Danio rerio: one gene and its partners. The protein of the gene in region 1 interacts with the protein of each later gene in a pairwise test. Links are inferred from orthologs where the notes say so. Each region holds a gene or a part of one and is shown on either strand. Other genes may lie near its edges.

Evidence for each region.
Region 2: the proteins of rabac1 (region 1) and ndrg4 interact in binary tests that used the Homo sapiens proteins (3 or more experiments, as listed by UniProt). The two-hybrid records come from large-scale screens. The link is inferred for Danio rerio from reciprocal best matches to the Homo sapiens genes RABAC1 and NDRG4.
Region 3: the proteins of rabac1 (region 1) and ntaq1 interact in binary tests that used the Homo sapiens proteins (3 or more experiments, as listed by UniProt). The two-hybrid records come from large-scale screens. The link is inferred for Danio rerio from reciprocal best matches to the Homo sapiens genes RABAC1 and NTAQ1.
Region 4: the proteins of rabac1 (region 1) and ric8a interact in binary tests that used the Homo sapiens proteins (3 or more experiments, as listed by UniProt). The link is inferred for Danio rerio from reciprocal best matches to the Homo sapiens genes RABAC1 and RIC8A.
Region 5: the proteins of rabac1 (region 1) and pbx3b interact in a two-hybrid assay, tested with the Homo sapiens proteins (2 studies listed by BioGRID). The two-hybrid records come from large-scale screens. The link is inferred for Danio rerio from reciprocal best matches to the Homo sapiens genes RABAC1 and PBX3.
Region 6: the proteins of rabac1 (region 1) and nudt18 interact in binary tests that used the Homo sapiens proteins (3 or more experiments, as listed by UniProt). The two-hybrid records come from large-scale screens. The link is inferred for Danio rerio from reciprocal best matches to the Homo sapiens genes RABAC1 and NUDT18.

Annotation. Positions count from the first base shown.
Region 1 is NC_133191.1:11,086,695-11,090,812, forward strand, and holds the start of rabac1 (prenylated Rab acceptor protein 1), read right to left. Parts: upstream 2,801-4,118; 5' UTR 2,773-2,800; intron 318-2,772; 5' UTR 308-317; coding exon 237-307; intron 1-236. UniProt on the Homo sapiens protein: General Rab protein regulator required for vesicle formation from the Golgi complex. May control vesicle docking and fusion by mediating the action of Rab GTPases to the SNARE complexes.
Region 2 is NC_133200.1:14,289,094-14,293,130, forward strand, and holds the start of ndrg4 (protein NDRG4), read right to left. Parts: upstream 2,801-4,037; 5' UTR 2,700-2,800; coding exon 2,679-2,699; intron 30-2,678; coding exon 1-29. UniProt on the Homo sapiens protein: Contributes to the maintenance of intracerebral BDNF levels within the normal range, which is necessary for the preservation of spatial learning and the resistance to neuronal cell death caused by ischemic stress.
Region 3 is NC_133194.1:37,454,635-37,458,716, reverse strand, and holds ntaq1 (protein N-terminal glutamine amidohydrolase), read right to left. Parts: upstream 2,801-4,082; coding exon 2,721-2,800; intron 2,641-2,720; coding exon 2,541-2,640; intron 1,368-2,540; coding exon 1,317-1,367; intron 1,237-1,316; coding exon 1,088-1,236; intron 663-1,087; coding exon 538-662; intron 452-537; coding exon 348-451; 3' UTR 332-347; downstream 1-331. UniProt on the Homo sapiens protein: Mediates the side-chain deamidation of N-terminal glutamine residues to glutamate, an important step in N-end rule pathway of protein degradation.
Region 4 is NC_133200.1:11,275,140-11,279,315, reverse strand, and holds the start of ric8a (chaperone Ric-8A), read right to left. Parts: upstream 2,801-4,176; 5' UTR 2,701-2,800; coding exon 2,611-2,700; intron 1-2,610.
Region 5 is NC_133183.1:36,175,571-36,179,734, forward strand, and holds the start of pbx3b (pre-B-cell leukemia transcription factor 3b), read right to left. Parts: upstream 2,801-4,164; 5' UTR 2,297-2,800; coding exon 2,100-2,296; exon of another isoform or gene 2,096-2,099; intron 1,485-2,095; coding exon 1,411-1,484; intron 1,374-1,410; exon of another isoform or gene 1-1,373. UniProt on the Homo sapiens protein: Transcriptional activator that binds the sequence 5'-ATCAATCAA-3'.
Region 6 is NC_133183.1:55,665,518-55,669,572, reverse strand, and holds the start of nudt18 (8-oxo-dGDP phosphatase NUDT18), read right to left. Parts: upstream 2,801-4,055; 5' UTR 2,749-2,800; intron 400-2,748; 5' UTR 390-399; coding exon 237-389; intron 1-236. UniProt on the Homo sapiens protein: Mediates the hydrolysis of oxidized nucleoside diphosphate derivatives. Hydrolyzes 8-oxo-7,8-dihydroguanine (8-oxo-Gua)-containing deoxyribo- and ribonucleoside diphosphates to the monophosphates. Hydrolyzes 8-oxo-dGDP and 8-oxo-GDP with the same efficiencies.

The DNA of each region.
Region 1 (4,118 bases):
ATACTTACATACATATAAATATATATATATATATATATATATATATATATATATATATATATATATATATATATAAACAACAACAAAGAAAGTTACAATTAAAATAATTTTTTTAAAGAAATTAATCATTTAGCAGTGTCTTTTATCTAATGTGACTCTCAATAAGAGTTAAACAATAAACAATTTCTGGAGTTTTGGGCTTTTACAGATTGTAGTATTTCTGGTGACAGACTCACCTTCCCACAATTCCTGCTCCTGGAAGCTGCTCTGCCTCGCTGCTAAAGGGGTCACTTACTTTTGCATCCATCTCGACGTGTCTAATAATAAAACACATATCTTAATCAACAAGAATGTATTACTATTTTGATTTAAATATATTCATATGTTGATTTAATTTCCAACAGAGTTGAGAGCCACTGGTACATTTATACTATGTGGGTTGATTGAGATGTAAAGGACATTGTGGTTGTCAAAAGAAGAAAGTGGGATCATTGGGTAAGATGCAATAATAAGTTACTGTTAATATTGCTCAGCTTTTTGCACAGACCTATAGTTTCCCTTTATTAGACCTCAATGTGTTTTCAGGTGTCACAGAAGTTAAATATGTTTTGCCTGTATATTTATGTTTGACTCTATAAGTGCAGGTAACTGTTGACTTGCATTGTATGAATAACAAAGGACCATGGCCTTTCATATAAAACTTCAAAAGGTTAGTTCACCCAAAAATTTAAATTATGTGATTAAGTACCACTATTTGTCCTCTCTTCCGCTTCAGGTAATCAGAGTTCATAATAAACGCATGTCCTGATCTGATACGTTTTTGACACACAAAAGTGTTCTTGGAGCTTCATATGATTATAGTTGACCCACTGAAGTCACATGGAATGTTTTGACAATGTGTTTAGTTCCTTTTCTGGACTATAAATGTGTCTGGACCATAAAAGGATGATGAGGAAACTTAGATTTCATGCAGGAATTAAAAGGACGTGAAGGTGAGTAATTAATAACAGAAGTTTTATTTTTGTGTGAACTAATCCTTTTATCCACTTAAAAAAAACACTCACCAGGCCCGTAGCCAGGGGTTTTCGGAAGACCCACCCACCCACACTGACAAAGGTCCAGAATTTGTCCAATACATGAGCTCATTTGTTCTTTTTTGACTGCTATGCCATCATAAATAGTGAAAATAACCCATCGAAAAAGGCATTAAGACCAAGCGTAATCCTGGTGTGACTTCAGTTAATCAGTTTTGGCCAATACAAACAATTATTTTTCAAGAGTCCAACATCCAGCTGTGCAAGAAAACACCTGACATAAGCAAAGTCATCTTTCACTACTTTATTGTTTTCAAATTGGGAAAAGATTTGACAAGTAACTTTTATTATCAATCACTTTTCTTGAAACAAAAAATAACCAATAAAGTGTAAAGTACTTATACAAGAGGCTAGAAAAACTGTGAAGCTCTTAACTGTTGTTGTTGTTATTATTATTATTATTATGTTTTAGTTTTTTATTATTATTTAAATGGCCACATTCTGACTGAGGAAAGTTGAATGTGCTGGCCAGTCAGTTATTTGCTTAATAAATTACACTAGGCTACAGTTTCTAATTTAAAACGTTGATGCATGATAAATGATGCAATATATTTCTGTTTTAAAAACACATATTTGCCATATTTATTTCTTTATTATAAATATTTAGGAAATGTTTTGGTACATCAAAAAGTGTGGTTATGATGACCATCCAACAAGATAATTGATTCAATAAAGTCAGGTAAAAAGTGCTTAAAATTTCATCTAAATTCAGCATTGAAATCTCATAACTAAACAGAAAATGAGGCGAACAACAGCAAAAAGATCTACCTATTAAGAAAAAACCCTTTCAAAAGGCTGGATTAATGAATAGCAAACTATAGATGAAAGGTTCTTCAAAGTGAAGTATAAGATAAAGGAAAAGTTATATTCGGATATTCAGACATTCTCCTTAACAATATAATTTCAGAAAAGTATTCTTTGCAAATTCCGAATAGGAAAATCATATAAGCACCAAATGATTATCAAAGTACAACATTGTTCACAATCAATTAGATAGAATTAATGTTATTTAGAAGTCATACTTGCAGGCTAATTCCGATCGAATATTCAAAGTAACATGGTAAACAATATAGGGACTTCTAAATGTGCGAATATAAAACCAACTTTACCTCTAACGTTATAAGTACAAGAACATGCACATAACTTTAGTCAAGGGATACTAAGACTTTTACACTTGATAGGAAAACAATGAATTTGATCTCCTTCACAGAAAGCAACTTTCTAAACTTCCTCTGTATGTCTTCACTTAATCTATGAAGCTCGCTTTCTATGTTATGGTAAGTTATGAACGTGTTCAATGACGTTACTGGAAAAATGATGTCACTCATGGGCTGCAACTGAAACTCTGCGTTCAAGAAGAGAAACAATCCGGTAGAGCAAGTTTGTTAAGCTGCTACATTACGTCAGATGTGCCTCAAAAAATAAATTATTACAGTCAGACAATAAACAACGTTTTCTTTTTTTGGTATGTCACAAAACATAATCCATAAAGTTTGTTTATCAAATCCGTTACAGACAGCAGCAAGCGCTCTTTCTCAAAATATATATCGATACCCCTTAACTTTGAGATCAATCGGTAACGTTAGTAACATAGAGAAATCGACAGACAGTGAGACGAAATATTTCTAGAATTGTGCTTTAAAAGGGGAGTAAACCTTAAAGTAACAATCATACTCACAGCACTTTGTGTAGATGTGTTGACTGTGTTGATGTGCAGCGGATATGATGTGGTTCGCAAACAGCGGTGACGATCTTCTTCTGTTGACATAAGTTAACACGAGTCAAACTTGCGACTGCCTCCTAGTGACACGGATCAGCATACAGGGCATGCACCTAAATTTTTTTTAAATGGATACAATGTCCTTTACATGTTATAACTATTATTTTGCATTAAGATAAAATATAGAAAATGAGGTTTAATGATATAAGAAAAAAACAGCAAAACTAAAAAAATATGAAAATAATTTTTAAAAATTCAAGTACAAAAGATGCATTCTAGAACTTTTGGGCCCCTTGGCTGGAATTGTTTATGGCCCCAAAATCACTAAATCAGCCCTTGATAATATATAATATATTTTAATATTCAAGAACAGACATACCTAGTAATGAACATTGTATAGTTGACATTCATTTGCAGCATTATAAATATGTGATGTCAATAAATACTTTTTTTCTAGCTAAATGCTATTAATTTCAGGAATTGGATTTCTGTTCTTTTCCAGTACACACTGCCAAAAACCTTGTGGCCTATCCAAGTTTTAGGAACAACAAATAACTTGACTTAGTTGATGATTTGGTATCAGTGGCTGAAAGGCAAAGGCCTCTAGTGTACGCTTCTTTTACCAAAATAAAATATGATTATGCCTTGATTTTTTATTATTTAATGAGGATAGTAAGGCCTGACTTTGCTAAAACAAAAGACTTAACAGAAATAATGTACAGTATAGAATATAAAGTCATGGTGCAATGGAAAAATAATTAATATTGTGTATGACTCCCATGAGCTTGGAGGGCTGCATCCACACATCTCTGCAATGACTCAAATCACTTATTAATAAAGTCATCTGGAATGGCAAAAACAGTGTTCCTGCAGGACTCCCAGAGTTCATCAAGATTCTTTGAATTCATCTTCAATGCCTTCGCCTCCATCTTACCCCAGACATGCTCAATAACTTTTATGTCTGGTGATTGGGCTGGCCAATACTGGAGCACTTTGACCTTTGCTTGCAGGAACTTTGATGTGGAGGCTGAAGTATGAGAAGGAGCGTGATCCGGCTGAAGAATTTGCCCTCTCCTGTGATATGTAATGAAAAGGGCAGCAAATGTCTTGATATCTCAGGCTGTTGATGTTGAATAAATGTAAACACAAATCATATTTTTTCCTTCACCAAACTTGACTGATTTCTGTGAGAATCTTGGGTCCATGAGGGTTCCAATAGGTCAGCAGTATGTGTGATGCAGTTCAACATGATTAATCAAAAAATTTACCTTCTGCCACTTTTCCAAATGATCAACTAGAAGTCA
Region 2 (4,037 bases), on another chromosome or scaffold:
ATCCCATAAGGGGTTTCAATGTCATGTTCCTGAACACACAAAAACAACAATTTCAGCAAAGAGCCTGAGAAACTGTCAGGATGGATCTAAAATGTTGTGGGAAGTTACTTTTAAAAGTAACATTGGATTACATTTTTTTCAAGTAACTAAATTCAGTACTTAGGTACTTTTTGAGGAAAGTAATGCATTAAGTTACTTTCCCATTACTTTTTTTCATCTGGGCTGGCTTGCTTGTTTGCAGGGCTCCACACAATTATTTCATATTGTCCTAACACAAATCTAAGTTGTAGCTTAAATACCCTAATTTAGATACAACATACTTGGTTAAAAATAGGTTTAAAATGTTTTTTTTAGTTGGAATTTTGTAGGTAAAACTTATTAACTAGACCAATCTCATCCCAGTGTCATCAAGTGGCCAATATTGTGGAAGAATCTGGCATATTGAGCTAATTTTTTGACATTGGGACGAAACTGACCCAATTTTCCAGTTGTAACTTAAATACAACAGTAATTTAGATGCAACATACTGACTTGAAATGAATTTAAAATATTTTTTTTGGTGAAAATTTTGTAGGTAAAACTTAAACTGGACCAATCTCATCCCAGTGGCTAATATTTGGCAAAATCTAGTATATTGAGGTACATATTGACATTGAAACGAGATTGACCCAATTTTCCAGTTTTAGCTTAAATATGACCCTAATTTAGATGCAAATTACTGACTGAAAATGGGTTTAAAAGGTTTTTTGTTGTTGTTGTTGTTGTTGAAAATTCTGTAGCTAAAACTTGTGAACTGGACCAATATCATCCCAGTGTCATCAAGTGGTCCATATTGTGGCAAAATCTGGCATATTTAGCTACGTATTGACATTGTGAGAAGACTGACCCAATTTACCACTTCATACAGGCTAAAATGTGGTGAAATCTAATAAGTCATGCTTTATTTTTTGTATCCAAACACAAACTATAAAATCAAAATTTGTTCCAATCATGTTCTAATTTCAAAAGGCAATCTATACTCAGTAAAATATTGTATATTGGGCTAACTTAAAAATCAAGTTTTAGCTTGTTTAGATGCAACAAATTCAGCTTAACAGTTGTATCTTAACACAAACTAAATAAAAGGAGGCAGTCTGCCAGAAATTCTCATTTCAGCCTGTATGTTTTGACACAAACTAAAACATTGATTTATATTGTAGTTACTAAAAGGGCTGCCAAATTTTTAATGGGCAATAAAAAATGTATTTAATCGAGAGTAAAAAAAAAACACAACTAATTAATATCTTATTAAGCGTCTCCGATTCCTGTTCATAGTCATTTAACACACTTTTAATTGCCATTTCCAAAGGCATTTTAATCTGAACTGACCCACATTCACCGTCAGACTTTACTCCAAGTGGAGAAGCGATGGATGTGTGTTTTTTTCTTGTCCTATAAGGATTATTTCAGAATCTCTAGCTTTCCAATGTTATGCACAAATCCACGCAGACACCTCGCAGGCAGCCCCGAGCTTAATGCAGATCCACAGAGAGACAGGGAAATAAATCTCCTGTGGGCTTTAAGCCCCTGTCAGTGTGTGGTTTTGATGTTAGTGGAAAATAAAAAATAAAAAAATAGTGGAAGCTCAGACCGGATGCAAGTGTATTTGTGCGAGTTAAGGACAGCTGTTTGTGTAACTCTGTGTTCGGGTCAAAATTAAATCTCATAGCAGCTGTCACTGTGTTTTGCAAAATGTCAAGCATGTTTTCTAGACAGACAATATGGAACAAACACTGACGAGATAAACACAAAATCTGACCTAGATATGACAATATTATGCACAAAACAATAGTAAAGCAGTGCGTCGTGAGTTGAAGTACTGCTCTTTTTTAGCTGCTCGTTTTCTTTAAGCTCAAGGTCACACAATCGTCCTTGGATGAGGATTTTTATGATTAGATCGCAGATTTGGTGTCAGTTTCACAATGCACAAACACACATTTCTAAACACACACACTCCAGGTCACTGCAGAGGTACATCAGTGCGCACGTCCCACACGTGGCAGTGTGTTAGTGTGTTAGTGCAAATGGCCACCTCATACATGACTGGACATTTCTGCACAACACACAATATCAGCATCACGCTTTCACCAGATGGAGCTTTTTATTTGATATTTTATTTTATGAATATATCTATTATATTATCTTATATCATATTATATTATATTATATTAAATATAAAAAATTATATATATATATATATATATATATATATATATATATATATATATATATATATATATATATATATATATGTTTTATATTATACATTTATGATACAAATGTACACATTTAGCTTTTTATTAAATAATAAATAAATAAGATTTTATTTTAAATGATTATTTTTATTTCAATATAATTACTAAATAACCATTAGGATTGATAAATTGAAATAAATGATAATAAGTAGCCATCAGGCAAGTATAAACATGCATAGATCTGTAATGATGGAACTGGTGCACAATACCAGTTCAGTAGGTCAAGCTAATTATTTCAAGCATGCATAAGGCTAATCAATTAAATATACATTCATTTGGCTAAACAATAAAGAATGACATGATAGCACATGTATTAGTATTAACAAATAAATAAATAAATAGAATCCTGTGTTTACATCCTAAAATCATAGATATCCCACTCACCCCATCCCAGCACTCCGGCATGGTAGCTTAGAGATTGTGTACGCTTGCTTAAAGAAGTGTAGGGAAGAAAAGGAGACGACAAGGTCCTCTCTGGACAATTGCAATCGGATGCAGGAAAGCAAAGAGATGCTGCGGTTGCTACGGCGTCTCTTTGTCTCTCCTCGTCCTGTCAGGGCAGTTTTGCAGCACTACTTGTCCCCTCCCCCGACACATTTCACATCCCACCCCATGCATTCTGATTGGATGACTGCACAAAATGCCAGCATGTGAGTGGCTCAGCTTGGTGTCAATCTAACTCTGTTGTTTTTCATCTGGATTTGCCCCATATTTGCTATTTTCATCCTCCACATGCACAAAACAGCCTTTAATATGACTTCTTGATGCAATTTAATACATCAATAGAGCGCTATATTCCAAAATGATATGCTTTTCTATATAGTAATTCATCATTTAAATAAAAAAAGACACAATACACACACCAAACTAGACAAGAACTCCGATTTCATAAAAAGCCTTAAGCATTACTGTCAATGTGGCTTGCTTTGTGACAGTGTTTGTGTGTGTGCGCTTCCACAGGAGCACGTGATAAAGCACTCGAGGCTCGTGGCCCACTTTTGAGGCATGGATGTGTTTACATGAGCTATATTCTATATTATACAGCCTCTGAATTTGAAATCCGCACAGTTTTGTCTATTACAACTGGATGTGCTGGCTTTTCTTTGTGGATGTGAAAGATTAATCCTCGTGTGCCTGACTTTGCTTTTGCAGTCTCACTTAAACGCACAAACTCTTCCCTTCTCTATTGCAAGTGTCATGCACAGGTGTAAATGCTTTTGCACTGTTGTTGTCAAAATAGAACGCGCCATACTTGTTACATAGTATGCACATGAACAGGTTTTTATTTAGAGCTCATTATCACTTTTTTGGGTTTGGTATTGTTTCTGAATAAGGTAACACTTTACAATAAGGTTCATTAGTTAATGCATTTAATAACATGAACTAATCATGAACAACACTTGTACAGCATTTATTAATCATAATTGAACATTTACTAATGCATTATTAACATCCAAACTCGTGCTTGTTAACATTAGTTAATGCACCGTGAGTTAACATGAATTCACAATGAACAACTGTATTTTCATTAACTAACGTTAACTTGAATTTTGCCTAAGTAATGTTTTATTCAGTACCAAACTGTAAATAATTACATGGCTGGCTTAAATTTTTAAAAATGAATTATATTAATGACTTACTGTTACAAGCACCAGCGATCTAGCCCATGCAGACCACTTAGAAATCTAAATCCGCCATTATATGGACTACAAGACCCAGTCATGCACTGCACACACACACCTG
Region 3 (4,082 bases), on another chromosome or scaffold:
CTACAGCACTACAACTGCTTACACAGTTTCGCATTTCGGTTTGGTTGTTTGTTTAAATTCTGCATTTTTATTATCTGTACATCTGTGTAACTGATTTCTTTATAAAAATAATACACATCCTCGACAAATGACAACAATGGCTTTCTTTTCTGTGACCTTTCTACCTGACTATAATTAAGCCACATTGCCAACTGTTCAATTAGTAAAAATAATTTCAGAGTCAATAAATGTGTCTTTTGAGGCCTGCTTAGTTGCAGCATTCTCCATCATAATAGGATCTTTCCCTGAGGCTCTGTTTATGTACATTTTTCAACAACAACAACAAAAAATGTGCTGGAAAAAAAGCATTACTTTACTCCAAAGTGTTTAACAAAGTCTGAAAGGCTGTAAACCTCTCCATATCCCACTCGGGGATCCATGCAGATGAAGTCATCAAGATTCATTTTGGATTCTGAAAAGGACACGTTATACATGAAAGTGGAAGAAGAAATCAAATTATAGTATTTACTGTATATAAATCTGCAATAGAAAACAAACCTGGTGTCTCTAAACATGGATATGCTGGAGGTGGCATACGCCAATTCCCATCGGAGTCCTTCATATGAGACCGATCAGAAGCAAACTCCTTCAAATAAGTGTCCCCGGGTATGACTCGAAGTTTCCTAAAAGAGCAAACAACACTTTGATTACATTCAACTAAGACTGGCTATTATTATTATAAGGGTCAAAGACATAAAGGAGTTTAAGCATTTGTTAAAAAATATATATATAAAAATAATATTATTTAATGCAAAAGTAAATTAATTGACTATTGTCCATCACCACAATTTACATAAGATGACCTCTAAAATGTAGTTAAGTGTAACAGTAGTTTAAAATACTAAGTTATATTTAAAACAAGAATAATGTGAGGCCATACTAAATGGATAACAATGCAGCCTCAAAATACTAATTCATATTAAAATCTTCATTCAATTTTGTCCTCACATTTTATGATGTGCTTTTCTTTTATAAATTTATTAAGTACTTGTTACACTTATGTTATTTCATCTTTTGTAGAATGCAGATTAGACCAGATAATACTTGCCTCCAGTAAGCAGGTTTCAAATGCTTGTCAGACTGAAAGGCCTCCATTGAATAAACGTCAAGCGAACAAGGAAATGGAAGAATGGTGTCTAAATCGTAAATGAAGCTCGGTCCTTGTTTACTTGCGTGTAGAAGAATAACATGGTAATCCTAAATGGAAAACAACATTTTTATATCAATTAGAGACTACCATAAAATATGCATAGTTTTTATACATATAAAGTTCCTACCCAAATTACTGGTTCATCCCCTCGACTGGACTTTTGTTTCCAAATAGGTATCTGAAATATTACACAATTTTTAACACACATACATACTATATATACACTCATTGGCCCCTTTTGTTTGGCACACCTTACTAGTACCGGGTTGGACCCTCTTTTGTCTTTAGAACTGCCTTAATCCTTTGTGGCATAGATTCAACAAGGTACTGGAAATATTCCTCAAGAGATTTTGGTTCATATTCACATGATAGCATTACACAGTTGCTGTGGATTTGTTGGCTGCACATCCGTGATGCGATTCTCTCATTCCACCACATCCCAAAGGTGCTCTACTGAATTGAGAGCCGGTGACTGTGGAAGTCATTTGATTACAGAACTTCATGTCATGTTTTACAAACCAGTCTGAGATGATTTGCGTTTTATGACATGGTGCGTTATCCTGCTGGAAGTAGCCATCAGAAGATGGGTACACTGGTCATAAAGGCATGGACATGGCCAGCAACAATACTCAGGTAGGCTGTGGCGTTGACACAATGCTTAATTGGTACTAATGGGCCCAATGTGTGCCAAGAAAATACCCCCCATGCCATTACACTACCACCACCTGAACCGTTGATACAAGGCAGGATGGATTCATGCTTTCATGTTGCTGACGCTAAATTCTTACCCTACCATCCGAATGTTGCAGCAGAAATTGAGACTTATCAGACCAGACAACGCTTTTCCAATCTTCTATTGTTCAATTTTGGTGAGCCAGTGTGAAATGTAGCCTCAGTTTCCTGGTCTTTGCTGACAAGAGTGGCACCCATGTGGTCTTCTGCTGCTGTAGCCCATCTCCTCAAGGTTCGAGGTTCAAAGTTACTGGAATCACCTTTCTTTCCCATTCTTATGCTTGGTTTGAACTGCAGCTGATCGTCTTGACCATGTCTACATGCCTAAATGCATTGAGTTGCTGCCATGTGATTGGCTTATTTTTGCGTTGAGCAGCAGTTGGAAAGCTGTACCTAATAAAGTGACCGGTGACTGTATACGTGTGTGTGTGTGTGTGTGTGTGTGTATATATGTATATATATATATATATATATATATATATATACATATATATATATATATATATATATATATGTATGTGTGTGTGTGTGTGTGTGTGTGTGTGTGTGTATGTATGTATATAACAGAAAACTGTACATTTCATTAAATGTAAAATACTTGTGTGGAGATGAAGCTCACCTTCTTTCTTTCATTAGATATAAATACTGCATACACCTCTTCCAAAGGACAATGTCTCTGATTCTTGATATATTCACACAATTTCCACACATTCTCCTCACTGCAACAAACATTTAAATACGTGTATGAATACGGTACGTTTTAAATTTGAAATAATGTTACAGGTATTATCGCATTTACCAGTAACAGCTGGTGTAAACACATTGGTTTCCGGACGGGGTGATCACTTTATATTCAGACGAAGCGCTTTCTTCATTCATTCTTTCCTTCCTTATATACGTGTATATACAGTAGGTTTACGCGGACTTCCAGTTATAACGACATGACAAAAGAATACATGTGTATAATGATACCATAGATATTTACATTAATATTACAATGAAGCGATTCGCGTTGCAACCGCACTGTTGCTTGTTACAATGTATCTTGTCCGTAAGGAACTTCAGGGGATTTGTCGTTCCGGCGAGACAGGTGATGCGCGAACATTCACTCCTTATGTGAATTGCAAATGTAGCACTTGCACGATTATCAGCATAAATATTAAACAGTCTAACTTTCATAAAGCATAAGTAGAAAACACGTTAGCGAAAGATAACGTGCAGTTAGGCATCGTTCTCAACTCAATACAATTAGCCAATGTATTGGTTTCTAATTTCAGAGTATCTGATTGTATTTTGTTGCACGTTAATTCGTTTTTTGCCACATACTTGTATAAATGTTTGTGGATATCTATAAATTTTTTTTGTGAACTATATTTTGTTTTAAACTGAAAATGTGTTTCTGTTTCTAATGCATGTTTATCTCAAACCCTTTCATTTCTCTATACATGTTCACTCATTATAGAGTCCTGACAATATGTTTCAAACTATCAGTCCATTCAAATTGTCTACCAAAACCACAGTATGAGTTAATATTAAGGAGGTTAGCACATAGTCTAAATGAATAACTATGTAGTCTTGTCAAAAGTTGTCTTGGTTCACACTTGCTTTGGTCATAAAAAGCCACAAAATGTTCTAAATATATATGCGTACAAGATGTCTTTTGTAAAATAAGGTAAATATTTTTTTGGATTAAATATATCACATTCTGAGAGATGTATTTATTTACTTGTACAACTGTTTTATTACACTTTTTATTGTTTTCATAGGCTAAATCCCCATTTCTGAGCCACAAATAAACAGCTCTTTACACTTTTACCGTTTAAGAATCCACTATTTGCTAACGTGTTTGTTTAAAATGAAATTTGATAACATTCAAATACTTATGATGTTATAAAGTAAGCTAAACCAACAAATATTAACCATATTCTTTTAACAAGATGTATAGGGCCACCTATGTTTTGAGGTGTAGCCATCAGAAAAAGCCCACCATTAACACCTCGTTTTTAGGAATGTCTTTTACTAATGATCTCATTAGCACTTGTGGACCCACTGATTTGAGAGCTGGTGAACTGGAAAAACCACGAATAAAATAGTTGAAATTGCACTTTATTTTTGTTACTTTTTAATAAAATGATCTTTCTTTCTATTTGACTGTAATGCT
Region 4 (4,176 bases), on another chromosome or scaffold:
CAATGAAAGTAGATCTGACTTTGGAATCAATTAAAACAAATACATCATATATAAGTCATCAATTCTTAATTAGTATCTCTCCCTGATGCATCGGTTCTTTCCTAAAGCATGATCAGAGCACTTAAACCGCATGATGATCTGTGATACAGGCTCACACAGCATCAGGGTCAGCCTAGGCAATCTATTTAGGTAGCTTGAGTCCTAATCCAACCCACGTCACGCAAAGATCTTCAACTCATATGACTTTTATAGTTAACATGTTTTCTGAAGTGTACACACTAACCCATTTACTAAGTGGATCATTAGTTTAAAAAGGCCTATACATGTGTGTAATAAATTTGGTCTTCTTACATTAGCACTGTCTCATTTATCTTCACACATGCATGTTTGAAATAGGCATGGGACGATAACCGGTTTTAAGGTTTACCATGGTTTGGAAATTATTAATAACGATATTTTAGATTGCATACCAAAGAAATGACATAACTTCAAACTAGGCATGAGGCGGCATATGTTTGTGAAGGTATGATAACCTTGGATAAAAATATCAGGGTTTCGTGGTTTTGTGATTACTGCTCTAAAATAAGTTCTTTTTCAAATGTGTGGATGAAAAACAACACACTTTCCTCATTGAACACAGTATACAGCAGCGTTTAACGCTAAAGATTTTTTCTACTGGCCCGATTGGATCAGTGGTTCAGATTTTTTCTTGCCTTGCCCAAATTTTCACTGGTCCCACCCAAAAAAATAAATAAATAAAATAAGGAGTTATTTGCTATTTCTTAGCCACATATTTTACATAATGTGTCAAAAATAACGTCTGTGAATCTAGAATTTAAATATTAAATTTTTTAAAAAAAATATTTAGCAGTAAAATATCGCAGCATGGAAAATGTGCAGGTATTTATTTATTTTTTTGCAAATTAAATAGATTTGCCAAACTGATCATTCTGTCTACTGTCCCGAGCGTCTCTTACGCTGGCCCTGGGCCATCCTTATTGTTGAGCCCTGTACAGTATTTATTTGACAAATTTTTTATTTAAAATTAAAATTTATAAAACTTTGCAACAGTAAACATGTCAGGCTAAATCATTCAAATAAATCTACAAAAACACACACACATTTTCAAAATGTGTTTTTATGTGTCGTAAAGAAATCTGTGTTTGTGAACTAACGAACCTAAAAAAAAGTCAATGAGTTATTTTAATTATTTAGCCTGAAATGTTCCAAGATTTTATAAATATGAATTGTAAATTGAAAAATTGTAAAACTAAATACTGTATATTGTGTTCAGTGGGTGAAAATGTGTTGTTTTTACTAAGACATGGCTAAAAACATGCTCTCACATGATTAGTGCTGTGTAGCATCATCTATTATAAATGGATATAAAAATAAATTGAAACTATTTCATGTTTTATGATATGCTGTAATAAATTTAGATGTTTGTTATGATTTACCACATATATGTAGAAATTACATGAAACATTAAGTCATGAAAATTGACTTGAAAGTGCTGGAAAAGTTATGGAATTTTTGCAGTAAAAATGTGTATGAACCTGAAAATGAAATGTCTGTAAACCATAAAACCAGTTATCGTCCCATACCTATTTCAAACATACAGTACATGTGTGGAGGTAGATGATAAATGTAAGATTTATGCAAGTGCTAATGTAAGATGACCACATTTATTACACACATATTAATATATAATGTTATGTTTTGGAACAGTAAACATGTCAGGCTAAATAACTGAAATAAATCCACAAAAAGGCTTTTTAAAAATGTTTTATGTATGTTTTAATGAGTAAAGAAATCTGTGTTTTGTAAACTAACAAACCTAGCATAAGTCAATGACCTATTTCAATGATTAAGCCTGACATGTTCCAAAATTAATAATAAAGAACTTATTTTAGAGCAGTAATCACAATACCATGTAACAGTGATGTTTTTATCCAAGATTATCAAACCTTCACAAGCATAAACCAGCCCATGCCTAGTTTGAAAGACTTTTGATGACATTTGATTGGTATAAATCTAATAATTGTTATCAATAAAGGCCCACATGACAGCAGTTTATTTGAGATATGGACATGATTAAAAGAGGATAATCATGTGAAACGTGTATATTATTGTTATTATTATATTAATATATTATTGCTATCATAAGTAATACGACAATTATATATATATATATATATATACTATATGTGTAAGGCATTTTTAAGAGCATTATGTAATAGCTTTCTGTCAACATATAACTAAATAATACCACAACATGACCCTTTTCTTTTAAATCCCACATAAATATGGTAATTTATATTCCATTCTGCTATATATTCGTGGTTTATTGTTGATATTACCTAGACAAAATGTGTTTACTAGAGGAGTTGTTGTGATATATTTCATTTGTGACATCATTTATAATTCTGATCCGTTATGACGGTGTTTCACATGAAATATTAATAAAACGGAAGACATATTCTTGTATTAAGCAACTCTATGTAAATATTTACAATAAAACATTGATAGTATTAAACTAGAAATACTCTCCTTTTGAGCAAAACACTGACATTGATGATATTAAAACAGTCGTAATGTTCATAACTGTACCTCTTTATTATATGTCTGTAAAGCTGTCAGTGCGGCGTCCTGGTCGCCCGTTTCCATTTTCTCTATGATGGCATTTAAGTCCATTTTCATCGCTGTTCCGCCCTTCTGCTGTCAGGAAGAGCCAAAAAATCACGTAAACACAGTCAGCTTCAATCCTCTGGCTTTATCTGGGCGATCCAGAAGCTCCTGGATGATGCGATTATTGAGGGAATCGTGGGATTTGTAGTGAAGGCTTTAAGATGGGAAGTCCCGCCTTCTGAGCAAATATTCGTGGTTGTGATTGGCGTGGGTGTATGATCGGCGTTTTATCGAGCCAATCATAGGCTGCAAGAAGGAGACGCGTCAGCCAATTATGATGCAGGAGGGTCGACTAAGTGTTACGGATGAGGAAAATGATGAGAAATGTAGTCCAAAAAGTTCAGATTATTCCGCAAATATACGGAGAACCTAAAATAAAATAAATAGGTGTTTTTATAAAGATATAAAACAATATGGGGCATCAGTGGGTAGCATGATCACCTTACAGCAAGAATATCACTGGTTCAATCCTCGACTGGGTCAGCTGGCATTTCTGTGAGGAGTTTGCATGTTCTCCCCGTGTTGGCGTAGGTTTCCTCCGGGTGCTCCGGTTTCCCCAACAAGTCCAAAGATGTAGTATAGGTGAATTGGTTAAGCTAAATAGATACGTAAGTTGGCGGTTCATTCCACTGTGGCGACCCCTGATTAATAAAGGGACCAAGCCGAAAAGAAAATGAATGAAGAAACAATAGGAAAAATATAGAAAAAAGTAATAAATGACTTAATAAAACAGATATTTGTTGTTTAAAATCGAATTTAATAGTAAATTTATTAATTTAATTTAACTTCCTTTTATTTATTATTTTATGCATGCATTTTTCATTTATATTTAAACTTTATTTGCAAACATATTATATATGTGTTTATTTATATTTTAGATTTATTTATGTATTTATTTAAATTTTATGTTTATTTATGTGCTTTTTTATATTTATTTATTAATGCATTTATTTATCTCTATAGCCTATTTATTCATGCAATTATTTCTTGGATTTCTATTTGCTTTCAGTCTTTAACATAAATGATAATAAAATAATTAACAATAAAGGCTAAACAGTACGTTTATAAAGATTTGCAAAAAAAAGTTTAGAACAGAGTAATAGTGCACAACGTAGGGAAGTAGACAAACATTAACCGTATAGTAAAAGTGTAGCAACCATGTTATTTTGTTTGGGCCCATTGAATATAATTTGTATAACTATGTTATTATTACTACAAACACCATGGTAAAACTATGTCTGATCCAGGAAAACCATGAATTTGTGGTTGTCGTGGTTTAACTGTACTATAACTGTGAAGTAAAACCATAGTGAGTTGGTTTAATGATTCATAATGTACACAAATAAATAGCAACTTTTTATATATTTTTCCCAAATAAATACATAAATTAATTCTAGGTTCAACAAGATAATTAATGAAAAAAATAAATAAAAAATAAAAACATTTAATAATACCTGAAAATATAATATGGTTTAAAATGATTATCAA
Region 5 (4,164 bases), on another chromosome or scaffold:
GCTGAATTGATGTTGTATCTGTCATTGGACTTCATCTACAGTGCGCGCTCGACAGACTGTTTCAGAGGTGCTCGAGTGTCAGAAAGAGTGAAATATTTTGTGTTTGATACAGACATGCGTATATCAACTGAAATAAAATAATTCTAATCCAACAAGAAGGAGCAATGCACAAGAAAGTAAACATTATGCAGAATAATGTGCGCCTGTACTTCTGCCAAGATACAATTCTTAATATAAGGTCCTTGAATGGAGTCAGTCAGTTGCCACTCAATGCATTGCTGAATTCAAATGTTGAAATTTAAATATTAAAACTATTTTTACACTTCAAGATCTAGGTCAGTGGTCAGATAGGTCATAGGCCACAGTACAAAAATATTATTAGATGTTAATAATTAAATAACAATATTGTTAAGTGCCAAAGAAGTGGCAACTTCCAGTTATTTACACTTTCCAGGCTCCTTAATAAATAATGAAAAAAATCTAAACATAAATATAACCATGTCTAAAATTTAATATTAGTTTTATTACAAGATAACCAGAATTCTTGTATAACAATGAGGGCATTCCCAGCCAAAATTTGTCATCTAAATATTTTTACAACTTTGGTTGCATCAAACTAATAATAAATAACTTATCGATCCCTCCTGATCATAACAAGTGCGTTTTAGCACACAAAAGAAAAGGAAAAAAATCAACAATGACACAATAAAGCCAAGCATCTTTGCACGTGTCGGTGAACGATGTAACCTTCACAGCGCTGGCGTCTTTCGGAATAAAATGGGGGCAATAATTAACTGCAGGACCGCCGATACTGCCAATAATTATCCAGTAAATTGGTCGCATAATTAGCCAGAGGAGCGCAGGAATTGGACCGCTCTCTCTCCGAACCACGAACACGCGCAAACGCTCTCAGGGCGTGCAGTTAAACAAAACAAGCTTAATATTAAACCAACACCGCACAAAGCATATCCTCAGTGGCAGATGCAGAATATCCCGAAGATGCATAATTGTCGAGCAATTCCCCAAGTGTGGGTCTTGCTTGATTAAATGAATGGTGTGAGAATAGCGCGCTGTAAACAAGGGAACTGCCGGGGTGCCTCTCTCTCATTCATGCCCCAGAAGAAGGCACTCGGTTCAGCCTTGTGATGCAACGCAGAAGGGGGGGAAGGATCATCGTTGTATATTTTGCAATGATAAATCCAATTATGACTATTCATTTTCACAAGTGAGAAGCAGAGAAATGTGGATGCTGGATGTGGCTTGATACAACTGGACTCCGCTGACGACCAAATAAAAAAAAAACACCAATAAAGATGGCGGTGTCTGAAGGATTAGTGACACTGTTCTGTTGCTTTTTTCTTCTTGACATGTCTAATTTAGCTTCATTTGTAAGGGTATGCATTATCTTACCTGTTTTCTCTTTGATCTCGCAGAGCACACTGAAGAGGGCTGGCTTCATTCTGTGACAGTTGAGCCCATGTTTCCTGTGCCATTTGGGAGCAAGAGACGAGATTGATATATAGTCACTTAAAACTCATAATTGTGTCGCATTAAAACTTCATAAGGCATCAAGTCTTCTGTTGGAATGTATCTTTAAACTGCATTGGTTTGTTAGAAATAAACACAGACAAAGTTCACAACAAAGAGTATAATTAATTAGTGCTAAATATGTAAATTAATTTACAAAGAAGTAAAAGATTTATAGTATGTGGCTAGTGGCTGTAAAAGTATCAGGGCCTCTTCGGCTCAGAAACAGAAAAGTGAGATGTAGAAACTTTTAATGAGATGCTCACATGTGTTGAGCACTTCACCTGTGTATCATTTACATTAAAATGCACAACTTTAGCAGCTAATGTTCTGATTTAGGATAGATCTTGTGACACTGAAACGTGATTTCAACCTGTCAAATGGATTTCAGATGCAAACTTGACCTTTTAGGTTTACTATAGTGACCCAGTGGGTGAAAATTAAAAGTTAGCTAGTGTGAAAAAAAAAGTAAATGAAAGCAACATGAGCTATTGTAAAGAATCAAATGAGCAAGCATGGAATACTTTGTTAAGAAAACAATGCAAGCGTTTATATTACAGAAATGCACCAACTTTGCTTGCGCCTCGTCCAGGCTTTGGTCGGTGATGGTCATGATCTGATGCAGAATGTCACCGATGTCTTGTTTTCTTCCATCCCCATCGGTTCCGTCGTGTCCATGTGGAGGCGGCAGAGCCATGCCGCCTTGTACCGAGTGACCAGCCAGGCTGACACCGCCGAGAGTCTGCATGATCCGGGCTTGCTCGTCCATAGTCCGCCGCAACACAATCAATGCGCTCGTGCTCAGTCACTGAGATGGGTGAAATAAACTCGGATAATGCACATGCAAAAACAACTTGATTATTTCATGTGCGGCGTTTAACGGGTCGCTATCGTGCACAAAATATTGACCGTGAAGCAACGCAGAAGAGAAGAAAAATACAATAAATCGCTGGATCGCGGAATTGATGTCCCGGGAAAAGATTTAAATCGTCTTTGATCCTCCTGTAAGAATGTCCATTAGAGGAAAATTAGCGATGATCTTTCTTGTTTGTTATTGAAGTAAACTTCAGCGTTCAGGTGACAGCGGTTGCCCGTTCAATCCTGTCCGAATCTTCATGCCAATTTGTCTTTTTTCTCTTTGAAGAGCCGGGGTCCTTTGCAGATGTCTGGAATTCTTATTTGCTGTCTTCTTAGGATAATTTCGCCTTGTGCACTTCTGGAAAACTTGGACAAATCCGTAGTATTACAAAGAGTTGCAAACAAAACATCCCATGCCTCTGACGGAAAGTGATAATTAATCAAAATTAATGATTGTGTAATTAAAAAGACGCAGGTTGAGTGTGGACAACTGGCAGAATGTTGTCTTTTAAAAAGATTTCTTTTTTTTCCTCCAAAAATAAAAAAACTGCATAAGAAAATAAAAGAACCCGAGTGAAATAAATTAAACCATCAGCACCGGCGACCAGAGCTATAAAGATTGTAGAGAAAAAAATATATACAAAAACGTATAAAAAAGTTTTCTCACTTTCAGTAGGTAAAATAGAAAAACTAGCGAAAAAAATTAATCACGCGCCATAAAGCGATGCGCAAAAATATCTGCTGGCGGAAATTTATGAGTCGAGCGCGCGGGCTGTGTGTGCTTTATGTTGTTTGATGGCAGCGGTAGTGAGCGATTGACAATGTGCCAATGCCATTCACTCAGTGCGGACGTGTCAGAGAAGAAAAAAAGATACAAAATCGACATCAAAATGCACGCTCCGCCCTGCAGAGGAGGGGTCTTAGATTCTTGTCACTTCTCGCCGAAGCCCCCGAAAACAAAATGCCAGTTAGCTACTAATGATACTGCTGGTGATGATAATGATGAGAGCAGAGCATCAAATCAGCAGCGTTTAAGTCTCCGCTTTACGCGTGCCTCATTTAAAAGCGCGCCCGTGCATTTGAGATGCCGTTACATTATAAAACAAACAAAAGGTCAGAGTTTTATATTGTCTGATTCAAACTAATAATGAATTGCACGGGCCCCCTCGCTTCCTTACACCATAGTATGGTCGCCTCCACAAGCCGTGCTTGCAGGGGCAGGAAAGCAGAGGACATGTTTATAATATTGGAAATAGACGCCTCGAACCAATCGCTTAAGAGACGGCGTTTGACGGGCAGCCGGAGTGACCAATGAGCGACTCGCGCTGATCGAGAACGCCCGCCTTCGGAGCTCAATACCTTTGCTACGGTTGTACAGAGAGATCTCAACTTCTGATTGGACGTTGCCAAGGGTGACATTACTGCACAAGCAGGCGGCGCTGCGCAGCGCTCCTCGCCAGTTGCTATGGCAGCAGACTGTTCGGTGAGCTCGAAGCAAAAACACACAGCGAAACATTTGTGCGCTTCTTCCTCCGTCCGCCGCGCTCCTCTCTCTCTCTCACACACACAGGCAGCCGGCTACAGCCACAAAAACACCGTATTCCATCCACACTCCAACCACTGTTGTTCAAGGTATAGCCCAAAACACGCGTCTTTTGTTCAGTACACCAGTCACCAAAAGCATCAGTATGTGTTGTTCTTGGTCCGTCGTAAATAATAGCGCATGTAGAAGAACTGTATTCAAACGAAGTGCCATGGGGGAATTAGAGACTACTTTTA
Region 6 (4,055 bases), on another chromosome or scaffold:
TGTTCATTATTAATCTATTTTCAAACCTAACTTGGTTTGAAATATCTTTCAATATTTAGATCATGGTCACATGACCAGTATGTAAATAAAGTACTGAGAATAATTCTTGAACACTGGCATACTGTAAATTAAGCCACATTGACTGTGCTGCCTTCAGTTTCATTCCTTGCTACCAAACAGTCTTGTTCCAGTAAATAGACAACACTCACATGCAAGAACAACAACACCATCTTTACCTTTGAATTGAAAATGACTGCGCCGACAATATAACACACGTTCTTCCTCAGTGTGACTGGGTCCACTTGTTCAGCGACTGAATCAAACTCGAGACCCTCACCCCTCAAAATCTTCTCCAAGTTCTCCTCCAGAATCGATGACTGCGAGTCCATGGCGGAGCTGCTTTAATTTGACAACAGAATGGAATTAATATCATCGTCAAATAAAGAGGCTGCCAAGAAGAGTCAGTTTTATTACAGTAAAAATACACTAGCCGGCCACTTTATTAAGTACACCTGTCAAAACTGCTGGTTAATGCAAATTTCTAATCAGCCGATCACATGGCAGCAACTCACTGCACTTAGGCATGTAGACATGGTCAAGACGATCTGCTGCAGCTCAAACCGAGCATCAGAATGAGGAAGAAAGCTGATTTAAGTGACTTTGAATGTGGCATGGTTGTTTATGCCAGACGGGCTGGTCTGAGTATTTCAGAAACTGCTGATTTACTGGGATTTTCACACACAACCATCTCTAGAGTTTACAAAGAATGGTCCGAAAAAGAGAAAAAGTCCAGTGAGCGGCAGTTCTGGGACGCAAATGCCTTGTTTACATCAGCAGTCAGAGGAGAATGGCCAGACTTGTTCCAGCTGATAGAAAGGCAACAGTTTAGTTTATTTATTTATTTAGTTTATTTATTTATATAGCACATTTTGTACAACACAACGTTGCCCAAAGTGCTGAACACAATCAATACTAAAAATAAAATCTACATCACACACATAGCAATTAAAACATAAGGCAAACCCCTCAACATTAAAAAGGCTCAAATACTAGAGAACAAAGATGGCGTTTCAAATGCTTTTTAAAAACAGGTAGAGTTGGAGCATGTCTGATGTGGGAAGGAAGCCCGTTCCAGAGTTTTGGGGCGACAACAGCAAAAGCCCGATCCCCACTCCGCTTACACCGGGACCTTGGTATAGATAGAATAAATTCATCAGAAGACCTCAGTTACCTACCAGGATTGTATACATGTAGCAGGTCTAATAAGTAAGATGGTGCCAGATCAATCCGTGACCTAACAGGCAGCCAGCCCAGAAAGGAAAGAACTGGGGATATGTGTGCAAACTTGCGAGTCCCTGTCAGAAGTCTCGCAGCCGCATTTTGTACTAATTGCAATCTATTTAGGGCATTTTGACTAATACCCACATACAGGGAATTGCAATAGTCAAGTCTTCCCAAAATAAAAGCATGGATCACCTCCTCAAGGTCATTAAAAATTAAAAGAAACGACTTTACTTTTGCCACAAGTCGTAAATGGAAAAAACTGGATTTAACAATTGTATTTAATTGCTTGTTAAATTTCAGATCATTGTCGAATTGAAATCCTAGGTTTCTAACAACAGGTTTTTGATAAGTGGAAAGCTCACCAAAACCTGATAAATGCAGAGGGATAGGATCGCCAAACCCGACCAGCTCAGTTTTGAAAAGTAACTCAAATAACCACTCGTTACAACAGAGGTATGCAGAAAAGCATCTCTGAACGCACAACACGTCCAACCTTGAGGCGAATGGGCTACAGCAGCAGAAGACCACACCAGGTGCCACTCCAGTCAGCTGAGAACAGGAAACTGAGGCTACAATTCGCACAGGCTCACCAAAATGGGACAATAGAAGATTGGAAAAATGTTGCCTGGTCTGATGAGTCTTGATTTCTGCTGCGTTATTCTGATGGTAGGGTCAGAATTTTGCTTCAACAACATGAAGGCATGGAGTTCTATACTATACTTATGGCAGGATAACGCACCATGCCATAAAGCGTGAATCACCTCAGACTGGTCTCTTGAACATGACAATATGTTCACTGTACTCAAATGGCCTCCACAGTCATTAGATCTCAATCCACTAGAGCACCTTTGGGATGTGGTGGCACAGGAGATTCACATCATGGATGTGCAGCTGACAAATCTGCAGCAACTGCATGATGCTATCATGTCAATATGGAGCAAAATCTCGGAGGAATATTTCTAATATAAATCTATGCCACGAAGGATTATAGCAGTTCACAAGGGCATCCAACCTGGTAGCCAACTAGTAAGGTGTACCTAATAAAGTGGCCGGTGAGTGTGTGTGTCTGTAGTTAAATCCTTGTAAAAACAAATCAATGCAATGCTATAGATTAACCACAACATTTGTAGTAACATTGTGGTAGTTAAATAAAAAAATGGTGGGTTATGCAACAAGAAATAATTGTTATTATATTTACTACAATTAAACCATGGCAATGTCATGACAAAGTTCCACAGAAGACGTATCTAATTATTTAATCTATTTATGAGTGTAACGTACAGCACAATGCCCCCCCCTACATTTGATTATTACACGACATTAAAGTAACATTGTGTTTGTACGCAAAATGACCTAAAGCAAAATAAATATGACGTAAGGTTACATAGTCTGAGATGACAAAGCATTATTACGAATAACTACTTAATACAACAACATTAAATTAAAACATCAATGTTTACTAACCCAGGTTGTCATAAAACAGACGCATGTAGACTCAAAACATCTCCTTCTTGTCTCGCGATAACACCTCTTTCGCGAGAACACTCATCTAGGGGTCATGTCAAATTCCCTTTTTTTTTTTTTTTTTTTGCAGTCTCGCTTTATTATTTTAGTTTTTTAATGTATTTGCTTCCTTGATGACAAATAATAGATTAATGTTAGTTACCTATAATTAAATAATAGCTTTTACAAAGAGAACAAGCTGTAGTTTAATTTCGTTTGAGGACTAGATAAATGTAGCTGCCAATTTTTAGACTATCCCTTACCTACAAGCTACAATGGCCATGTCCCAATACACAACTCTAGCGATCTTTACACTCGACTACGTCTACTTTCATGACAAACGTCCCATATTTGTTACCCTGTACTATAAAACAAGAAACTATTAAAGGCAGGTTTTGGTAATTAAGATTTATACATCACATTAATGATATCCCGACTTGGTCAGTTGGCATTTCTGTTTGGAGATGCATGTTCTCCCTGAGTGAGGGTTTCCTTAGGGTGCTCGGGTTTCCCCCACAGTCCAAAGACATGCACCGTATAGTATAGTATATATATATATATATATATATATATATATATATATATATATATATATATATATATATATATATATATATATATATATATATAGATATATATAGTGTATGTGTAAGAGTGTATGGGTGTTTACCAGTACTGGGTTGTGGCTGGAAGGGCATATGCTGTGTAAAACATATACTGAATAGGTTGAGGGTTCATTCCGCTGTGGTAACCCCTGGTGAATAAAGGACTGCTGAAATCAAATTAATGAATGAATTAAATCGGAATAACTACACTTTCTATTACCAACTAAGCTTACCAAGCTTACAATAAAATAAAAAATATAGAGAAACTCGCCTTTAAAGTTTTCTAGTGTTTAGCGATGCAAATTTTGTTTACAATGTAATATTTAGAAAATATCCTAATGGTCCTTACTCAATACAATGATTTTGGCATAAGAGAAAATTCAATTCTTTTGACCTACATGCATTTTTGGCTTTTGCCAAAATGATACTTGCACCAGGGTCACATTTGGGGTTTAAGTTAGTTTCAATAGAGCTTTATTAACACATTTAGCTCATTTACACGTTAACATGAACTACTTTTCTATTTTTGAGTTTACAAGAGGTTGAGTTTTTTTCTGGATAAGTTGGCGGTTCATTCCGCCCTGGATTTTTAAAGGGACTAAGGCGAAAAGAAAATTAATGAATAATAATAGTAATAAAAGTCCAAGAGGTAGGCAGAAAAAC